Elephas maximus indicus: one gene and its partner. The protein of the gene in region 1 interacts with the protein of each later gene in a pairwise test. Links are inferred from orthologs where the notes say so. Each region holds a gene or a part of one and is shown in the gene's direction. Other genes may lie near its edges.

Region 1 (7,832 bases):
AGCCTGAGCTCTTAACCACTGCATCACCCTGGCTCCTAATTCTCTATATAGTAACTTTGAAAAACTTCTAAAACTGTGAAAAGTATGCTGCTGGATCTTTAACCTCTAAGATTTCCCTTATTTCTGAATGCCTCAGCAGATTATTGTAACACTGAAACAACAGAATGTTATGAAAGCATCAGCTATTTCAACAACTTTTCTGAGGCTTTACCATCTATCCTATCTATCTCCTGGGAGTTTTTGAGGATGCCCTATGAAAGGACTGTGAAGAATATGACATGCTACATAGATACCATGGAAGTATAAATCCTCACCACCGAAAGCCTTAATTAGGGATAAACCCCTCAAGTTATTGTGAAAGTAAACTTTGTGAAAAGTACACATACGTTAAACAATTATGTCTGACTCCACACGAAATTAATTTATATGCTGTAGGGTTGGGTTAACTAGTTACTCCAACGTTTTTAGATAAGCAGGATTTCCTCTTGGAGTTGCCACTGCGTTATCTTTATTTTTGACCAGGGAAACCCTAAGAAGTGGCTTTGAGAGTATGACTTTTTTTCTTTTAATTTATTTTTTGATTGTACTTTAGATGAAGGTTTACAGAACAAACTAGCTTCGTATTAAACAGTACACATATTGTTTTATGACATTAACAACTCTACGAGTGTCAACACTCTCCCTTCTCAATCTTGGGTTCCCTATTACCAGCACGACTTTTGAAATCCACTTTCTTTTAAAAATTGAAGCCTAAAACTCTAAATAAGAATGTCTATATCCCGTTAAACCTGAAGAGACCCCACCAATCTGTTCAATTATGATATTGTTATAATCTGGTAAGCCGTTTTTGTTTGCATGTTTTGCTTTGTTTTTAACTACATAGCAAGCTACTCCCAATAAAAACATACACTACAATTAAAAACTGCCGTGACTGGGAGGACGTACACTTGTTCTGTTAACCACTCTTGTGCTCCCTCTTGCTGCCACAAAGAAAACGTTCACGTTGGAGACCTCAGTACATTCCTTAACAGAGTGCTCTGTTTCGGCAATGATGATACGGATTTGTGCATAAATCAGGGCTCTTCTGAAATGTTTTGTCCAAAGCATACCATGTAATAATTTTTAAAGTAAAATGCACGAATTAATAAAAGGGGGAGGGAATACAAAAGGAATATATAGAAGAATTAAGATCTGCACCTTTAGCCAAATTCATCCTGTCTTAGCCCTGTAGTACAGACCAGTGTTCCTCACAGTATAAAGTGCTTAGGAACCCTCCCCAGGGATCTTATTAAAATGCAGATTTTTGATTCAGTAGGTCTGGGTGGAACCCTCCATTCTGAATGTCTATAAAGCTCCCAGATGCTGCTGTTGCTGCTCCTGGGACCACATTTTAAGAAGCAAGGATATTAATGATGGCCATATATATAATATACACCTGATAGCCCTTTTTAAACTGTCAAAAGTGATGTTATCAAAGCAGTGAAATAGATCTGAGGAATTTATTTGTTCATGGTATTTACGCATTCTGGAACACAGTTTAGGCAGTTAGGCTCAAACCGTTGCCTTGGAGTCGATCTCGACTCATAGCGACCCTATAAGACAAAATAGAATTGTCCCATAGGGTTTCCAAGGAGTGGTTGGTGGATTTGAACTGCCAACCTTTGGGTTGGCAGCGGATCTCTTAACCACTGTGCCACCAGGGCTCCACAGTTAGGCTCAGCAGGCCTTATTTCTGTTTCTTTTCATTTCAAAGGTTGACTTAGCTCCTACCAAGATAATCTCACGTTTATGACTAGGCTTATTTTAAAAAAAAAAATGAAACCGTTGCCTTTGAGTTGACTCCTACTCATAGCAATCCTGTAGGGTGGGGTAGAGCTGCCCTGTAGGATTTACCAAGGAGCAGCTGATGGGTTCAAACTGCTGACCTTTTGATTTGCAGCCATAGCTGTTAACCACTAGACCACCAGGACTTCCATAGTGAACTCTAGTACTATCTATTTGCCTACTGGCTTCTTGAAAACCCTGCTCTTCTTTCATTCAGCTCCTAAGAGGTTTTATTTGCATAAGCCTATTATATGTGACAGAAACTCTGATGGCCTAGTGGTTAAGAGCTACAGCTGCTAACCAAAAAGTTGGCAGTTCGAATTCACCAGGCGTTCCTTGGAAACCCCGTGGGGCAGTTCTACCCTGTCCTGTAGAGTCACTAGGAGTCAGAATCCACTCCACGGCAACAGGTTTTGTTTTGTCTTTTGTGATTTGCAATGGTACATATTTTAATATTTTTACCATCTGAAAACATTTCAGTAGGAAAGGTAATAAAACTGTATGATGAGTATACTTTGGACATTAAAGAAATAGTTACAGATTTTAGTCACAGTTTATGGCTTTACTCTTAATGGCTAAGAAAGTAAATGACACATTTCTTATTGTTTTTACTGCTTGGGTAATATACATATTTAGCTTCCTTGGGGGAACATTTAAATTCATTGACTAGCTCTGATCTGAATTATATGTTTTAATTTGTTTAAAGCTGTTAACGTAACAGAAACTAACTGCTTATGTCAATGTAATAATGAAAATATTAGCTTTTTTTTTTTTTAACTGCAAATTCTCTAAATGTAAGATGTCTAAAAACAGAGTGGAGGTGGATTGGACAGTCTGCAGAGTATGACTTGGAATAAAAACATCTCAGTTAAGCCAAAAACATGGCAACCAATATTTTCTGTTATAAAAATATTTTAGATGAATTTAGTTTTTATGAAAGCTGTCTGAAACTGAAATGAATCACAGAAGCTCTCTGTTTATTCACAGGCCAGCAATAATAATAATACCTGCAGCACAAGGCATACGTCTTCTTGGTGCAAGGCCAGCAAGCCCCTGCTTGGTTCAGAAGTCGGCTTTGCCAAGTATGGGAAAAGATATTACCTGGTTATGTTCTGTGATATTAGCCTTCACCTTGAGGAAGCTTGTCAGTGAAAACAAAACCAAGGAGAGCTTTTGCAGGAAACTGATTTTAACTGTCCACTAGAGGCTGTAATGAGACCGACTATGTCACTTTAAGCCAACCCGAGGTTTAAACCGTAGCCATCATTGATTTTTAAATGAAAAAAAAAAAAAAAAAAAGGAAAAGAAAGTTGTAGAAATGAGTAAAAGTGAACAGTAGTAGTAGCTCTATTTAAATAGCCATGTAGATGTTTTTAGAGTTTCAAAATGTGAGAAAAAAAATTATTTCCGGGGCTCGACACCTTCCTATTTAGTATACTTATTTTTATTTCTGAAGCACATAGGCTCTACAATACTGTTATTTAAAAGCTGACACATTTCTCCTGGTAATTCTGTATCCTGCTTCAGTTGGTGACTAACCGTTAGGTCATAAGTAAACCCAGCCAAAAGGCCTCTCCAATACGGCTTACTGTATCAAATACAGCCACGACAGTGGTGGCTTCCATAGAGAAACTGACGTGGAGGCATCGTGTGTCTAGACACTCGTTCTAAGCACCTGAAGGAGGTCAAATGCTGGCTCGACACCTACTGGTCTTCCAGAATTCTATGCAGCGAGGAGAACGCAGCACTGAGCTTCTCGAGCAGGATGTGCCTTCTCTTCCTCCAGGTGCCACACCTGTTGGCAAGGTGCACCGCTCCAAAGAAGAGTCCTTCCCATCGAGCTAACACCTGGAAGGGGGTACATGCGGAGGGGACCGGGTAGTGGGAAGCTGAGAACCGCACTTCAAAATTGAGTCCAGAGGAAGTACTACAGCGTGGATTCAAGGGAGCTGCCATTTGATGCTCGGTTTGCTTTCTCTATCTCCAACACTGGTTACCTCATTTCCGATTAAATTAATGATCCCGAATTAGCTGCGAGCGGAGTGTGCGGGTCGTCTATCAAGACTAGAGCTGAGGAGTTGAATATCCGAAGCAGATTTCCGGACCCGCAGAAAGAGAAAGAAGCGCAGGGAGGTCACCAGCTTTCCCAGCCAGTGAAGGTGAGGGTGCATGTGCATTCGGGGAGACCCTGCAAACTTTCCCGAGTTGCAGGCAAAGGCAGTCCCCGCGGCCCCAGCGTCTGGGTTCCGGAACGCCGAAGCTAAACCAGCTGGAGGATTATCACAGTCCGCGCTCCTAGATGCTTCCTTCTCTTAGTGCCCGGGACGAAGGGCACGTCGGGATTAGAACTGGCCAACCTCCCCTCCCCCTTGGGTATCTCGTTATCGCCGAGCCGAAGCCTGACACCCCTCGGAGGGTACCCCACGGTGCCTGAGTTGCACCCCGCTGTCGCTCTCTCCCCTCCAATTAGGTGCTGGGACCTGGGGAGTCGCGCGAGGCCCGACCGGTCACCGCTAAAATGACCTCATCGCCTCAGCTCTTCGCCCCTTTCTCAAACCTGGAAGGAACCGTCTCCTCCGGCCCGCGCGTCGCCCTCCCGCGCCAGCCGCACTTTCGGGATGGGAAGTGGCGGCCGGTCCCGCGGCGGAAGCGAGCCCGCCTACCCGGGGTCGGCGGTCCCCGGGCGGGCGCGCACCGAAGGGTTAAGGGAGCGGGCGGGTCGCCGCGCCGTCCGCGCGCCGGGATCCGTGCGGCTCTCCGGGCCGCCTGCCAAAGGGTGCCCGCCCCCCTCCCCCCGTGAAGTAGGATCCTTGAGCTGCGGCGGCGGCAGCCAACTGCTCCATATTTGGCTTCTATTACACATTTACATACTGGAGCGAGCGAGCGAGCGAGGAGGGAGGGCGGGCGGGCGAGAGGAGGGAGGAGGGAGGGGAGGGGAGCGGGAGGAGGAGGAGGAGAGAACAGAGTATACCGCAGACATCATTTCTACTACAGTGGCGGAGCCGTACAGGACCTGTTTCACTGCAGGGGGATCCAAAACAAGCCCCGTGGAGCAGCAGCCCGAGCACCAGCAGCCTCAAGACATTGTTTCTCTCCCTCTGCCCCCCCTTCCCCACGCAACCCCAGATTCTTTTACACTTTACAGTAAGTGGCTATTTTTTTTTTCCTCCTCTGATTCTTTCTCTCCCCCCTCCCCCATCTCCTCCCCTGATTTAGATTAAAATCCTCCCCCCTCCCGCCCCGCTCTCCCGAGGTGGGCAAAAGCAACAACCAGCAAACAAACCCCAAACCCCAAACGGCGGCACGGCGAACAGCTGGAAGAGGAGCAAAGGAAACCGACGCGTCGTGTTGTGTTGTGCGTGTACATACAACCTTTCCCGGCTCCAGCCTCCCGGGGGCCGACACCCCCACTCTCGGCGCAGTGAAGAGCCAGCAGTAGGGCAGCCGGGCCCGGGTGGGAAGGGTGAGCGCCCGCCGGGCGAGGGGGCGCGCCCGGGCGGGGGGCGCGGGTAGGGACAGCGGTGGCGCCCCGCACCGGCGGCTGCTGGTCCCGCCGCGAGTGCAGAGAGCCATGTCCTCCCTCGGGGTGGCGCAGGGGGAGACAGTAGCCGCTGGGGGGTCGCGCGGCCCCCTCCCCACTCGTCGTCCCCGCAAGGGGCTGCGAGAGCGAGTGGGTCTCGGGGAGGACTGGGCTTCCCCGCGGGTGGCCGTCTGGCCTCCGCTCTCCGGGGCTGGGGTCTCCTGGCGGAGGCCGGCCTTGCCGGTTTTTCGGCTGCGGCCGCGCTGGCAGCCGGATCAGGACTTTGCGCACGTCCGGGCGCAGGGAGGGGGCGCACGGGGGGCGCGGAGAGGTGGCCGCAGGGACCGGGCGGGGAGCGGTTGTGCGGGTGCCGGGAGTGCGGCTGGCGGTGGCGGCCCTGGCTGCCGCCGCCCTGTTAGTGCCACTGCTTCCTGATCATGTGCAGCCGCCGCTGCTGCCTGGAGCCGGGAGCCCGTGAGCACCCTGGGGCCCGCCGGCGCCCCCGCCAGCGCCCGCGGCAGGAGCGGAGGAGCCCCGGCAGGCGCTGCCCTACGCGGGGAGTGAACGGCTGCACGGCTGCCGGGCGGGTGAATGAAGCCGGGAGGAGGAGAAGGGGGAGGAGGAGGCGGAGGAGGAGGTGCTGCGGCGTTTGGGATGCGCCCCGGAGCCCCGCTGCTCGTTCACTCTAGGCCGGGCCGGGCCAGAGACTCTGCCATTCCCGCGGCGGCCGCCGCCTCCTACGTGGTTCCAGTGCTGCGCGCAGGCGGGTCCCGCAGAGGGCAGGGAAGGGGCCGGCCGGGCGGAGAGAGAGGTGAGGCGGTGTCGGAGCGGGTTGTGAGTGTGTGCGTGTGTGTATGCGCGCGCTCGCCGAGGGGAAGGAGGGACGTCGCCATGGGGTGGGGGCCCTCGGTGGCCACTTGGCTGACTCTACAGCGCCCAGACCCCTCCTCAGCCCCCCTCCCCCTCCCACCCCCAGGCCGCCTTCCTAAACTCCGTGGCTTGTGCTTTCATTTTATTTCAGACCACGTAGGGGGCTGACTGGAAGCGTTGAAACAATTCAGGTTTTTTAGGGAGATTAAGCAAGAACCTCAGTGGGGGGTGGGCGTAGGGTAGTGATCGAGATTGTGCCAGAAAACAAAAAAAAATCACAATTTCTAAGGACGGTGGGGTTCGTGCATACCCGTGGCTGCTCTGTTTTGTTTTGCTTTCTTGGTATATAATCCTACAGATAAGAGGGTAATATAAATACTTTGGAAGATTGGAGAATTGCTGAAGAGTAGTAATGGCAAGGGGGGAAAAAGCCAGTCGGAAGCTGGTTATATAATGCGCGAGGTGGCTAACAAGAACGGCAAGCTATTTTTATTTTGTTTACCGTATGCTGTGCAGTAGGGACTCCTCCAAACTGGTTCTGTCCCCGAAGAGATTCTTAGCTTCCTTGTGAGATCCACAGGATACAATTAGCAAAATTAGAAGACCCTATTACACCCACAGAATAAAAACTAATGCCTTAGAGTGGCAATTCCTTGCAAATCCGGTCGTGCATGCAGGGGAATGTGTGTATGCAAATAGGTTCTCCTTCGGCAATCTAGTAGTCACATCTCAATGACATTCATGTTTTGTAATGCAGGCTGTTCTTAATATTGAAACATCATCGTTAACATGTTGCACACAGCAGTGGGTAGTTACTTGATGGTTATTTTTAGTCATGCTAGTTAACTTTTTTCACAAAGGTGAGCTAAGCCTTTTCTATTTGGGTTTCCGAGGAGACCTGCAGTTCCTAGAAGCCCCTGCTAATCCCACCCTCTGGTTTATTTGATGGGTAAAGGTAGTTTGGTACTTGTGCTTCTTGGGAATGAAGTTTATACCCGAGAAAACTACCAGAGAGAAGGAGGAGAAATCCTGCATATGAACTCTCGGAAAGGGATTGCGCCAGGACGGCGAATGCTGTGCCGCTTCATCGCTGATTGCCCTGGAAGTGTGCATGCGTCGGTCAGTGTTTCAGCAGCTCCGGAAGTGAAGGGCCTTGGATGCCAGTCTCTTCCACTTAAAGCAGAGGTCGAAGGGCTCCCCTGAACCTCCTGACTGCCTGTCTTTCTCATCATGTAGATACATGTCAGTGGTGTAGGTTTTCCTGCACTTAGGCCAGCCCTGATCAGTCATGTAATTAGATCAGGCTGCCATGGCAACAGACAGTGTTCCTCGTCCATTCAGGTGGGTTTGTCTTGTGCCTGGACTACTCCAAGTGTTTTATGCACAGTGTTTGTGCTGCCCAAGCCAGACAAGAGACTTCACTAGTTCAACTGCATCTTCTTTCAGTAATTTGGACGGGAGACACTAAATTAGGTTTCTAGTTACTCAACTTTTGTAAGAGAGACCAAGAATCTGTTCTTACCGGGTGCAGTATGTAAATGTATCACCCCAGACAATGAAAGGAGCCTGACAGTCCTACTGGGGTTTATTGTTAACAGATCAACAAGTATTTGGTACT
Region 2 (7,562 bases), on another chromosome or scaffold:
GGCAGACAGTGGATGGGAAAAAGAAAAACATACACATATAAGGCAGTTGCCCCAGGATAGGGGGCGTTCTAGTTAATCTTTAACCCCTGGAGCTTGCAAGCAGGAGGGAAGGGAAGGAGAGAGAGAGGTGCCATCAGATCCCGCCTCTGAGGCAGGCTCCCTGGGCCAGCCATGGGGCTGCAGTATCTGTATCAGCCGCAGTCACGAACACCGGCAGTCACAAACACTGAGGAGCATAAGCAAGATGACCTAATGATCCAATTTCCCTGCCTCTGGCCTATCTACCAACACCAGGCAGGATCCAGTGATTCTGCTGGCTGACAGATGGCAGTAAATCTCTCCCCTTCCCCTTTGAATATCCAGGCACCTCTTTGGTTTCTTGACACTGCCAGGGAGTTCTCTGGCCATTTCCTCTGCGTGGGAGCTTCCAGGGCCTGGGCTCTGAGGTCAGGGGAAGGGCAGGTGGTCCTAGGTGCAGCCACTAGCCTAAGTAAGCATCGCCATTTTATTCCTGGCAGCCACGTTTCTCCACCCTGTCATAACAAAAAACAAAAACCAGTGTAACAGAATCAAAGGAGGATATGGAAACGAGCTGGCCCCCACTTCCTCAAACATTCGGAGCAGGAGCGTGTGAGCTAGGGGCACATGTATTTGAAAGCATCTCCCTAGTAGGATACTTGGAATCAAGTACATCCAAGTGCTACAAATAATTTTTTTTTTAATTGTATTTCTTCCAGGGCCTGTGTGGACCCAGCACATACTGAGTCTGGCTTTAGACCTGCCTGTCACTGATTCAGAAAACCCTGGTGGCGTAGTGGTTAAGTGTCATGGCTGCTAACCAAGAGGTCAGCAATTTGAATCTACCAGGCGCTCCTTGGAAACTCTATGGGGCAGTTCTACTCTGCCCTATAGGGTTGCTATGAGTTGGAATCAACTTGACAGCGGTGGGGTTGGTTTGGTTGGTCACTGCTTCTGGAGTCCCTGGGTTAACATGCAAATGGTTGACATGCTCGGATGCTAACTGATAAAAAGGTTGGAGGTTTGAGTCCACCCAGAGGCACCTAGGAAAAAATATCCAGTCATCTACCTCTGAGATATTGTCCGTTGAAAACCTTATGGAGCGCAGTTCTACTCTGACACATATGAGGTCGCTATGAGGCACAGTAGGCGCAACAGCAACTTTTTTTTTTCTTTTTTTTTACATCACTGATTCTACTTTGTGCCCTTGGATATCTCACTTCTGTAAGGGTTTTCCGGAAACCCTGGTGGTGTAGTGGTTAAGTGCTATGGCTGCTAACCAAAAGGTTGGCAGTTCGAATCCACCAGGTGCTCCTTGAAAGCTCTATGGGGGCAGTTCTACACTGTCCTGTAGGGTCACTATCAGTCGGAGTCAACTCGACAGCAATGGGTTTGGCTTTGTTTTTTTAAAAAGGTTTTCTCATCCATGAAATGGGGACATAACCTCAAGAATGTTGGAGATAGTCAGATGCTGTCATTATTAAGAAGTCAGAGTTTGCCCTTAGTGCTGACAGCCATAGTGTGGAGGACAAACTGTATGTGTATCATGACACCCTCCCCTGACTTAGGTTTCTTATTTGTCTTAGTTTATTAAATTCAAAAATTATTTAGTGAGCACTACTGTATGCACTCCACTAAGCTTCATATGTTGTTGTAGTTGTGCGCTGTTGAGTCAATTCTGACTCACAGTGACCCTACTGGACAGAGTAGATCTGCCCCATACGGTTCCCCAGGCTGAAATGTTTATGCGAGAAGATTACCAGGTCTTTTTTCCTGCAGAGCCGCTGGGGTTCAAACCTCTGACCTTGTGGTTAGCAGCCCATCAAAACTACTGCTGTGGAGTCAATTCTGACTCCTAGGGACCCTATAGGACAGAGTAGAACTGACCCATAGGGTTTCCCAAGCTCTAAATCTTTATGGAAGCAGGCTGCCACATCTTTCTCCCACAGAGTGGCTGGTGGCTTCAAACTGCCAACCTTTTGGTGGGCAGCCAAGCACTTTCACCTCCGCACCACCAGGGCTCTTAGCAGCTCCTAAGGGGTATATATAGTCCTTGTCCTGCAGGAGCAGTGGACACAGACAGAAAGAGATCAGTTTGTACTTCATCTGACAGAGATGGGATACAGTGCTGGACGAAGGTCTAGATTATCTGTGCTTCTCTAGAAGTTCAGAGAAGACAGAGGTACATGTGAGCCGGAGCCATGCTAGGTGGAGGACCAGCACAGGCAAAGGCCCAGAGGTACAAGCAAGTTGGGTTTTGGGCACATGCCACAGTCTGCTTTCAAGCTTTCTCTGAACTTTTTCATCCTCAATCCTGTGTCAACATGCCCTTCCCCTCCTATGCTGCCTGGTGAACTTCTACTTACCTTTCAAGGTCCAGCTAAACTGTCGCCTCCTCTGTGAAGGCTTTCCTGACCCTCTCCACTACGAGCCTTCCTGGTGGTTGTAACCCAAGCCTTGATTATAGCGATTATCACGCTCTGTGTGAATATCTGCTGCCCCTGAGACTGGGCTTGGCAGAAGTGGGCTCCGTTTCTGTAGCAGAGATATTGCTATGTGTTCACGAAACTGACGTTGTTTTTTCTCCTGGACACACAGGAAGACTCTGTTTCTTTTGTATACAGCTGGGAGCACGTAGCTAATGCTGGTTAATGAATGTAGGTGGAAGTGATGTATGCCACCCCCAGGGCTGGCTCCTGAACAGCACTCTCAGACTGTGCTCGTGCCGTCTCTGCTCTTGTTACCAGGCCAGGAGAAGAACCAATGGAGGCCTCAGAGGCCCTGAAGAAATGTGGTGCAAGCATTAGATGGAAGATGCTTGGGTTCCTGAGAGACTGTGGAGTCCTCTCCGCCCCTTCCAACCTGAATTGTAACCTGAGTGAGAACTGGGATCTTATGTGTTACCACAGCACAGCATAGCCTACCCTGACTAAGACAATGCCTCGGCAGCCTCTGCTTGCAGTCACCTGGCTGATGGGGCTGGGTCTGGGGGTCTGACTGAGGGCTTGCATGGATAGGCTACAGAAAGCCCACGGAATGACCTTGGCTACTGGACTCTGCTTAGAAGGAAGGAGTCAGCGCCCCCAGGTACTGGAGCTGGCTCTTTATAACACCACCACAGCCCGGTACTAACACATCCTACAGTCATTATTTCAGTCAATTCTCCTAGCAGTCCTGACTAGGAGACTCCCTCCGTCTAGATTTAGCTTTGCCATTCTGCTTACAGAGAGAAAGGAGAGAGGGGGACTGGGCTCAGGCCCTGACCCTCACTGGAAGCCTCCAGTCAGGTCCCTTGTCAAAGCTGCTCTGCCCATTTTCCCTCCACAAGCCTCCTGTGTAGTGGGAGCTCACTCACAGTGTTTTTTGTGGGGGAGGATTTGAGTTTTACCCTAGAGACACAGAAAGACAGTTTCGTCTCAGCCTCACACGAAGGCCCATTTCCACATTTACGGCTGTTTCTGTGGTTACCTTTCTTTGGTAATGTTTGGGGCGCGCGGCGGTGACGATGGTGGTAGTGCTGGGGTGCGTATATATGTGCTCTTCTAAGCCCTAGATTTTCAGGAGCTGCTCCAGTAAGGGATCCCGGGAAGCACAGTCCTGCCTTGTCATGCGGGTTCCATAGACAAGGGGATGAGCGAAGTCTGCAGGAGAAACCAGGCCGCCCCTCCCGGAGGCTCACGAGGCCAGCCGTCCCCAGGAATAAGATGCCCAACTAAGGAAGTCCTTTTCCCGGCAGGGAAACTGAAGAACCACTGAATGGCAGTGAGGAAAGGACCCCAGAAAGCCTGCCTGTCCTCCCCGTCCACTTTACAGGTGGGGAAACCAAGGCTGAGGGAGTCCAAGGCACTTGCAAAAATGGCACAAGGAGTTACCAAAGGCAACAATAGCTGGAACCCAGGTCTCCCTCTTCCCAGCCCCAGGATCTTTGCCAGAATGAGGCTCAGGAAAGTTGGGTGGTATCAGCACACGGGACCGGGGTGGGGAAGAATAGAAGAGGGACCTGGCAGGCGGTCCCCGTGGCTTGGGCGACTCCCGCCTCTTCCCCTTCCTAGGCCACCCGGGCCACACTTCCTGCAGAGGACTAGAAGGCGGGGGCGCGGGGCAAGGCCGTCCGGTCTGGGGCACCGCCTCTCGGCCTCTCCCACACTCGTAGGCCAGAGGCGAAGGGTTAGGGAGGCGGAACCGGTGCACTGCTCCGCCCCTGCCCCGTCCCATTCTCGTATCCACTAGGGAGGGGGACCCGGGCAGGACCTCGGCTGGGTGGTGAGGGGGCTGAGGAGCGCGGGACAGGGTGGTAAGGATGGAAGATGGGACGGCAAGGTCCAGCAGGGGGCGGGGCTAGGGAGGGGGCGTGGCCGGAGCGGCGGCAGAGGGGCGTGGCCGAGTCGGCTGGAAACTTCACCGCCCGCCCCCGGCCGTGCGCCCCGCCCCCGGCCCCCGCCCCCGGCCCCCGCCTTCCCGTCCCTTCCTTCCCGGGGCTGGCAGGCGGCAGCAGCGGCAGCAGGCGACGGACCCGCGGGCACCTCGCTTCCTCCCCTCGCTGCCCGGCTTCCTTTTGTCCTTCTGGGCGGCGATGAGCGCAGGGCCGGCGCGGCGGCTGCCGGAGCACGGAGCCTCGCACCCCTAGCCACCCCTCCCGGCTTCGGCACGCTTGTCCCCGCGCAGCGGCCCGCGTCCACCCCAGCCGCTGCTCGCGCCGCAACTTGGGCTTGGGAAGCCGCGGACTGCGTCCTGCGTCGGACTCGGTAGGAGAGGGACAGGCTGCGGGGGGCTGCGGGGACTGCGGGTGCGTGGATCGGTGTGCGCCCGCGTGTGTCTGTAATCGTGACTCTGCGTGTGTGCGTGTGTGTGTGTGTGTGTATGTGTGTGTTGGGGGGTGCCTTGTTTCCCTGCGCGGGTGCAGTTGTGTATGACCGCGGACGGGTGGTGTATTTCTGGAATGGCGTGCCCTCGTGGGGATCCGTGTGAGCAACTGGGTGTGCACATTTTCGGCTGCGTTTGTGGAATTGTGTGTGAGGGCGCAGTTGCTCGTGGGTGCCGGGCGGGGGTCGTGTGTGAGCAGCTGTGCGCGGGGCGAGGAATGGCAGGGTAGGCGTGGGCGACCTGGACCCGCGCAAGGGGCTCTGTGGTCTCTGCCGGCCGGCGCAGTGCGGAGCGCAGGAGCCCAGGGGAGAGCCGCGTCGCAGAGGAGGGAAGCGCTGGCCCGGCGGGAAGCCCGGGTTAGCCTCGCAGGCGGCAGGTCCGCCCGGCACACGTGGGCCGCCTGTGCGCTCTGGCCAAAGGTGGGGGCGGTGGGGCGGCGATTTCCTCTCAGATTAGAACCCTGACCTCGCCGTGACCTGCACTGCGACCTGGGCCAGATACGCCACCTTCCTGAGTCGCAGTTTGCTGCTCTTTAAAATGAGGGCATTCCCTCCCTCGGGGGCTGTCGTGATAGTTAAAAGAGAGCGCCCTAACGGTAGCTCTCGGCCCAGTGCCTGGCACTTAGTAGGTGCTATGTTAATTGAATTAGCTCTCTTTCTCTCTCATTTATCGTGGGTGGGGCTCTTACTTTTTTTTTTCTCCCTTTCTGGCTGTGTTTCTTGCATCTCTCACGGCTCTAGCTTAACCGCAAAGCACAGAGATTCGAGAAAGTTTAGGCTGCTGGGTGCGCTGCCTCCTAGCCGCATCTCCCCGGCGGGCGCACCCTGCGGGTCTACAGGAGCGCGCAGCGCCGAGCGCTGGCTCGTCTCCAGCCCTAAAGGCTCCTGCGCACGAGCTAGGGTCCCTCTCCTGGCTGGAAGACAGCGGCAGCTGCTGGAGTCGGTAGCCCTTTTGTTCAACAAGTGGCTAGTCCCCAGGGTGTGCAACTCGTGGAACCTGAGAGCCACGGTGTGAAAGTGGCGCTCCCCGCAGAGACGGAGCTCAGGCTGGCGGTGCTTCCCAACCCGGGCCTGGTCATGCGGAATGCCACCCCCCTTTCTTCCCAGCTAACATCAGATTCCACCTAGAGGAGGGCGTTTGCCAGAATGGCGAGTCCCGCCTTGGGCTCAGCGTTGGACAACCTGCAACCTTACCCATGACGCCAGACGCTGGATGGGAGGGACCCTGCCTCCTAGACCCATACCTTGGTTTTTAAAATATAAATTCCTACATCTTTAGTTTTGAAACCTGCTACTGGTAAAATTGAACTGCAGTGAATGTGCACCAAGCTCTTACAACGTTAACTCAAGCCAGAGTCTTGCCATTCCACCTCCAGGTTCCCTCATACCCAGGAAGGCAGCTGATAGGGGCGCTGTCCTCTGTTGCCTCCTGCCAGAAGGGAGTCAGTGATTCCTTTCCTTCATTTCCATGGCTTCTCCCATTCAGGACCCTTCCCAGTCTGAAAAAACAAATAGCATTTAACCAAGGGAGCAGCAGACCTCATCTGTGTGCCAGGCTCTCAAAATGGAGCACTGGCATGGTGTGTTCTGAGGAAGGAGTCAACCGCTTGGCTGCGCTGGGGTATCAGATACATTTCCCAAGTATCCAGTGCCCCTCCAGTTAGGGTTTGCAGGGAAGCTGGAATGCTATGCAGGCTTTATGACAAACACGCAGAAACCTCTGGTTCGGTGCCTTTGGTTTGTCTTCATCGAGAATAGAGGTGCTGAGAGCGCAGCAGTGAGAGCAGGCTATGTGGATTTAATAAGCTAATTTTTCATCCTAATTTGGTGTTGGAGGCACACCTAGAATGCAACCTATTTTCTGTCTCATAAAATAATTTTATATCCTAGAGGAGAAAAGGGCTTTTGATCTGAACCCTACTCTCGTCCCCATAATCAGATTCAATAATCATATTTACAAAAAATCGGTCTGGCTTTCACAGCTCAGAGACAGAACCAATAGCTTTCTTTTTTTCTTTTTCTTGATAAAACCAATCCTTTGTCTCAAGCAAACCAGTGTTTTGGTCCTCGATCTATTTCTGTTTCACTTTTGCAAGCGCCTGTAATTACTGAGCTCTTGAGGTTTTATTGAATAATGCACCACAGGGAAGGTCCACAGGCTTGGGCTGTCGCTTGTGGTGGACGTGGTGCCACGTTCTAGCCTGGCCTGCTCCCTTTGGGTTTCATTTTTATTCTTTCATCAGGTGGAAAAATCAATGTCAACGTGAAATAACAATTTGGGAGACCTGGTATTGAGAATCGAATGCCTGGGGAGTCATTTGACCTGTGGAGGCATAAGAATAAGTCGAAATTCCAGAATAACAGAGATTTGCCCAAATTCTAGCCAAGGACCTATTCATTTCCAATAAGATCTCCTAGAGACATATTCTAAGAGAAATGAAATAACTTGGACAAATCCTTCAAAATTTATCTCCATCCTCGTTTCTGGCCACAGGGCTGTGCAGAATTAGAAACACAAGCTCCTGAAGGACAAGGAGCGGACTTGGGTGCACACTCCCCTCCCCAGGGGCTTATATTCACCTAACTCCATTTCCACCTGGGGCAGATTGGGAGCTTTCATCCCGGTGAAGGCACAGTACTCCCTTGGGGAATGCACCTCCCTATCTTCAGGACTTTGCATTG

Evidence for each region.
Region 2: the proteins of ATXN1 (region 1) and HPCAL1 interact in binary tests that used the Homo sapiens proteins (3 or more experiments, as listed by UniProt). The link is inferred for Elephas maximus indicus from reciprocal best matches to the Homo sapiens genes ATXN1 and HPCAL1.

The regions. Positions count from the first base shown.
Region 1 is NC_064819.1:62,016,171-62,024,002, reverse strand, and holds the start of ATXN1 (ataxin-1), read left to right. Parts: upstream 1-4,773; 5' UTR 4,774-4,968; intron 4,969-7,832. UniProt on the Homo sapiens protein: Chromatin-binding factor that repress Notch signaling in the absence of Notch intracellular domain by acting as a CBF1 corepressor. Binds to the HEY promoter and might assist, along with NCOR2, RBPJ-mediated repression. Binds RNA in vitro.
Region 2 is NC_064830.1:19,874,182-19,881,743, forward strand, and holds the start of HPCAL1 (hippocalcin-like protein 1), read left to right. Parts: upstream 1-4,478; 5' UTR 4,479-4,763; intron 4,764-7,562. UniProt on the Homo sapiens protein: May be involved in the calcium-dependent regulation of rhodopsin phosphorylation.